2 linked regions of the Canis lupus familiaris genome follow. The main gene of each other region encodes a partner of the protein of the gene in region 2 in a complex. Links are inferred from orthologs where the notes say so. Each region holds a gene or a part of one and is shown on either strand. Other genes may lie near its edges.

Region 1 (2,438 bases), on a different chromosome or scaffold from region 2:
AATCCCCCCACCCCCAAAAAAAGGGGAAAAAAAAGAGTTGAGCAAACCTGATGTATACTGGTATAAATGTGGGAGATGTAAACATAAAGTGAGCAGGCAAATAACCATATAGGCCCTAATTTCTATGTTTGAAATGACTGAAGGAATAAACCACATAAGGTCCAGAGTGTTCATAGTTCCTGGGATTTTAGTTCTGTATGATACTAAAAATATACAACAAGTATTGTGCTGGGTATTTTGGCACCTAATCTTTCTAAATTTCTTATATATTGATAAGATTCTGGCATGGGAATAGACTTAAAGACATAACTCAATACTGCATGATTTCAGGAAAGGTCAATTGGTACAAGTGATAAGCACATTTTAAATGCTGTAAAGCAAGAAACTTTTGCTAAGTGTCCAAATAGTTTGATCGTAACCCAAACATAGAGGTTGCAATTCCATCAAACTTGTGGCCTGATAAAACCGCTTTCCAATACTCCTATGGAAGCTTCATTAGACTTAATCACCAAGCCAACATATTGGCTAATATGTGTATATATGACAAATTAGGTCCTGTTTCAAGTTCCACTTCCAAGGCAATGACATCAGGCACCCCAGTTTTATTGAATGCAACAGTTGTTTCTATGACCATTGGAGTCTTGGAAGCGCAGCCGCATTTTAGGACGATACTTCTCCAAATACAAAAGTTGCTTGCTGTTAAAAGCTCCACGCCGCTTTTGTCTTATGAACTGTACTGCATCTTCATATTTCATTCCACCTTCAATTAATGCTAGGGCAACAAGCACTGGAGCTCTCCCAAGGCCTGCGACACAATGGGCAGCAATACAACAACCAGGTTCTTCACGAAACTTAATTTTTACAAGACTTACCCAGTCATCAACAATCTGGTTGGATGGTGGTGCACCATCATCAAAAGGCCAATCGAGAACACGGATGCCTTCTTTCTCCACAAGAGTAGTGTCATAAGTTGCTTCACATACTCTAACTATTGTTGTAACTCCATACTTCTTAAGTTCCTCTATAAATTTGTTTAAGGTCGCATTGGTTGGATTGTGTGTAATAAGAAATCTCATGTTCTTGTATGTGACTTCCACAGGAGCTGGGCGGTTCATTTGAGCCATGTTAATTAAATTAGAAAACACTCAATAGGGTTATGAAAGAATTTTAAAAAATTGAATACAGAAATGATGCAAAGAAACTGAGTCTACTTTGATATACTCCACTTGAAATTCTCAGTGCTTTGAGTATGAAGTTGGGAGTAATGGGAAATGAAATGAACCTCCTAACAATTCTTCAATCCAGTAATACTGAGGCAATAGAAAGGAAATGCACTGAGGTTTACCCCAAGCAGGTCAGAACTCTTGTAACATGCTCTGTGGATTTCAATTCAACACTTCTGGGTCCAGGTTAACCACTCTTATGGGGGCTTCTTGGTGGAGTAGTAATGAATTTCTACAGTTCACTTGTCTGCACAGAGGTCGTGCTGTGCCTGGCAGTAATCTCCACTGCCCTTCAGAAACTCCATAAATGTGTGACCAAGAACACCACAGAACTGAGGAATATGTTTACTCATTGAAGATTGTGGCCTAATCATACAGCCGGTCCCGAGGCGGCAGCTTCGCAGGCGGTGGTGGGGGCACCAGGCTCTACCATGGAGTGAGCGGCTCTGGTACTCAACTTTTTAAATCAAAATACAAATTAAAACCACCATGAGGTACTACTACTATCTGCCATTATGGCTAAAAATAAAAATGACTAATAATACCAAGAGTCGGAAAGGATGAGAACCAAATGAAATGGAACTCTTTCAGAAACCACTTTAGAATAACTATTGAGGAGGGGCACCTGGCTGGCTCAGTTGGGGGAGCATGCAACTCTTGAGCTTGGGGTTGTGAGTTCGAACCCCATGTTAGGTGCACAGATTACTCAAAAATGAAATCTAAAAAAAACAAAAACAAAAACTATTGATCGGTTTCCACTAAAAACAATTACCACATGCCCCCAGGAGTTCCACTCCTGATTATATACAAAAAGAAATATGCACTGTTCCCCGTAAGAACACTTAGAAGAATGTTCATAGCAGCAGTGACAGCAGCATTAGGCAAAAACTGGGGGCTTTTCATAAAATAGAATACTACGGAGAACTGAGAATGAACAAAGCACTGTTATATGGAAGAACAGGGATAAATCTCACTAACAGAACATTCAGCCAACAGACAGGAAGTACAGCTTCTGTAATCATATTAACATAAATTTCAGAAGCAGACAAAACTATTCTATGGCTTAGAAGTCAGAGTGGTGATTACATTTAGGACAACAGTGATCAGGGGAGTTTATGGGTTTCTGGTAATAGTCTGTTTCTTGTTCTAGGTACAGCTGCCTTCACTTTGTGGAAATTGAGCTATACATTACAATCTGTGCATTTCTCTGTATGT
Region 2 (3,659 bases):
ATTTATTGATGGTTCAGTGGCTCCTAGCCATTGTCCTTGCTGGATCTCGACACTGTCTCTGATATGGCAATTTTTGTTAGCCTGGTTTTAAAAGATGAGGAGACTGAGGCTCAGGAAAGTTCTGTGATTTCCTCATGATCACACAGCTAGTAATGACTAGGAAGTGGCCATGCTGGGGCTCCAGTCTAGGACTGGTCAGCTTCAGGGCACCTGTTCTTCCCTGGCCCTTGTGGCCGTTCGCACAGTAGCTGTTCTTAAACTTTCTTGTATTCGGATACCTTTAAGCTCTTAAAAATCATTGAAGACTCTTGAACTTTTGTTTATGTAGGTTCTATCTCTTGATATTTACTGTATTTGATGTTAAAATGGAGTAATATAAAACATCTAGACTTACTAATTCATTTTTGAAGGACAATTATAATAGATCCACTGCATTAACATAAGTAACATTTTATTAAAAATAACTTTTCCAAAAAAAGTAACTTTTCCAAAACAAAAATAACCTTTGTTATATGACCAATAATTGTTGTGTTATCTTTCCACATCTTTATCGCCTAGTTGGATTTTCCTATCTTCTTCTGCATCCAGTCTGTGGATGTTTTAGTTGAAATATAGGAAGTATATGTTTTAGTTGAAATATAGGAAGAAAATCTGACCTCACATAGATATGTATTTGGAAAGGGGAAGGATATTTTAACAGCTTTTTTGCGCAATTGGGAATATTCTCCTTTGATATGATGCTGAAACTCCATAAGTTTTAGTTTTTTTAAAGGTTAGTTGCAGTGTAGAATCTGAAACTATACCAGTGGACTTTGGGTGCACTGTTAAATTGAAATCCTTTGGTCTGAAATCTTTCTTATCGAAAAATTCTGAATAATATATGTGGGTACTTCCCACCAGGAGAAGTAGAGCTTAACTTCTATCCCTCACTTTTCCCTGAGGGTGGGCTAATCCTAGTGACCTGCTTCCAAAGGATAGAATGAAGAAAAGAAGAAATATTAATAACTTTACAGTGGAGAAACTTGAGAATGTCATGTGGCCATCATTTAAGCCTTGATATGATGTAACTAGAAAACCCAGAACCCCACTCTAATCATGAGAAAGCATCAGACAAACCCAAACCAAAGGACGTTCTACAGGATTCCTGACCAGTACTCCTCGATTGTCAGGATCATAAAAAACAAGCAAAGACTAAGAAACTGTCAGATGCTAGAAGAGACATGACAGCTAGATGCAATGTGGTGCTCTGGAATAGATCCTGGAACAGAGAGAGGGCATTAATAGAAAAACTGGTGGAATCTCAAATAAGTCTGGAATGTACTTAATAGTGCTCTATCAATGTCAGTTTCTTAGTTTTATAAACAGGTTGTGGTAATGCCTGATGTTAACAGTGGGAGCAGCTGAGGGAAGGCTATACAGGAATTCTGTACTGTCTTTACAGCTTTTCTGTCTATCTAAAATTATGCCAAAGTATAAAAAGTTTATTTTAAAAAATCTGTTATTATAACCAAGTAAGAGACTCAATAGAGAACAAACTGATGGTGACCAGAGGGAGGTGAGTGAGAGGATGGGGGAATTAGGTGATGGTGATTAAGGAGGGCACTTGTGATGAGCAACTTGTGATGTATGGAGTTGTTGAATCACTATATTGTACACCTGAAACTACTATAATACTGTATGTTCACTAATTGGAATTTAAATAAAAACCTCTTTTAAAAAATTTAAAAATAGGGTATGAGAGGAAAAATCTGATGTTACAAATCAGAGTCTTATACTCTGAATAGATGGTTTACCTATGCATGGTTTGGTAACATCGTTACCAGGATCATTTGGGAAATACTGGCTCACTGAGTTATGCAGATCTTTGGAATGCTGACTCCTTTCATTATTCAGTATTTTAAAAATCACAGTTGTTATCTTATCAGAAGGGTCTTTGTTGAGTTTGCAAGCCCGTGGTGGATACAAGTTTCCCAAAATTCTGATTTTTCCCTTGAAAGTTCAAATTTTATCATAAGCTAATGCTGCAGGCTCATTTTGTCCCTTTTCACGAAAGTATTTGCCAAATATCCAAGTCTAAGTACCCTCAGTTTGGCACTTATCCTTCGGATGAAAATGATGTCCAGTGAAAAACGCAGCTAGTAGCCTGCACTTCAAACGGTTGTGTGTGTGCCTTTCCTCAAGACAGCCACTCATTGTACTTCAGAATGCCACCAAAGCCTTTCATGGTGGGTCTCATTTTGCCACATAGAGTATTAAAAAACAAGTACTCAAGGACAAGATTTAATTAAATCAATTTTTACATCTTCATCTGGGACATTCTGAAGAGAAATGAACTATTGCCCTCCTTTCCCAGGGCATGTGTGGTAGCGGAAATGGTCTGCCACCGCGGTCTCAATTTGTGTTCAGACGCCTTGGCACAATTGGTTCAAATCTCCACACAGTGCAAAAGGCCTAGAACATTTTAGTGCTCTGGAAGTAGTTTGACCTTGTTGCCCTCCCCCTCCTAAGAGGGTCTTGGGCACCTCAAAGGGTCCACGGACCACACTTCGAGAACTGTTACCTGTAAGTAAAGGAGCAGTTGTTAGAAGGAGAAGAAGAGCTGAAGTGACTGAAGACCAAATCTGAGAGGAAGCAGATGATCATATGGCGCAGGCCAAGGTGTATAGAAGCTGAGGCTCTTCCCACTTGGCGCTCGTGCTTTCAGCAGCCAAGGAAGCTTTTCCATTTGTCTGTGGCATCTCCGCACCATGTTTAAATGCCCAAATGCATACTCCGATCGCCTGGTATCTGTGTTCGTCACCACCATTCTTAACATCATCACATATGAGGCTTCGTTCAGGAAGGTCAGAAAATTCCTTCTTAAACTGTGTTTTCTTTTCTTTAAAGGTAAATCCCACCTGGCTATTGTGCAGCGAGTGAACAATGAAGGAGAAGGGGACCCATTTTATGAAGTTCTGGGAATCGTCACCTTAGAAGACGTGATTGAAGAAATCATCAAATCCGAGATTCTAGACGAAACAGATTTATACAGTGAGTAGCCTGAGTGTGAGTTTTTGAAACCTCGGCAGTTTCTTATCCTCTTGTTCATGGGTCCTCACACGTCTTCGCTGGTCATTTGCCTGTCTCTAACCATGTGCTGTGTGTGTAGGCTGTGGACCACTTAGCAGTGTGTTCTAGGCCCTTCGTCAGAGGGGGAGAGAGGAGGCAGGTCCTGTGATGTCTAATGGCAGTGTTTTATTTTTGTGGGTTTTTTGAGAAAAGTCAGCTTTGGGGCACCTGGGTGGCTCAGTGGTTGAGTGACTGCCTTTGGCCCAGGTTGTGATCCCAGGGTCCTGGGATCGAGTCTTGCATCAGGCTCCCAGTTGGGAGCCTGCTTCTCCCTCTGCCTGTGTCTCTGCTTTTCGCTGTGTCTCTCATGAGTTAATAAATAAAATCTTAAATTTTTTTTTTTTTTAAAGAAAAGCCAGCTTCTTCTAACCCATTGATCAGGTCATTACTTGCCCTAAACAGAAAACTCCATTCTTGGTTTTTACATTTATTCTACATGTGGAAAAAGAATTGTTCTTTACTAATTTTTTATTTTCCACAACTAGGCAGCTCTGTTCAGATAAATTTCTTTTTCTGCTTAAGGTCATATTTCAGGTTGTTGTGGGGAGGAT

The links. Proteins that work in one complex are often made in the same cells at the same time.
Region 1: the proteins of CNNM2 (region 2) and protein tyrosine phosphatase type IVA 1-like are in contact, whole or in part, in a crystal structure (PDB 5MMZ), measured with the Mus musculus proteins. The link is inferred for Canis lupus familiaris from reciprocal best matches to the Homo sapiens genes CNNM2 and PTP4A1. Residues at the interface, in NP_291047.2 of Mus musculus: Phe526, Asp528, Val551, Asn553, Glu556, Gly557, Asp558, Pro559, Phe560, Tyr561; in NP_035330.1 of Mus musculus: Asp72, Gly73, Ala74, Gly107, Leu108, Gly109, Arg110, Arg137, Arg138, Gly139, Ala140, Phe141, Asn142, Lys144, Gln145.

The regions. Positions count from the first base shown.
Region 1 is NC_049248.1:18,637,468-18,639,905, reverse strand, and holds protein tyrosine phosphatase type IVA 1-like, read right to left. Parts: upstream 1,185-2,438; 5' UTR 1,125-1,184; coding exon 603-1,124; 3' UTR 583-602; downstream 1-582. UniProt on the Homo sapiens protein: Protein tyrosine phosphatase which stimulates progression from G1 into S phase during mitosis. May play a role in the development and maintenance of differentiating epithelial tissues.
Region 2 is NC_049249.1:15,679,085-15,682,743, forward strand, and holds part of CNNM2 (metal transporter CNNM2), read left to right. Parts: intron 1-2,886; coding exon 2,887-3,030; intron 3,031-3,659.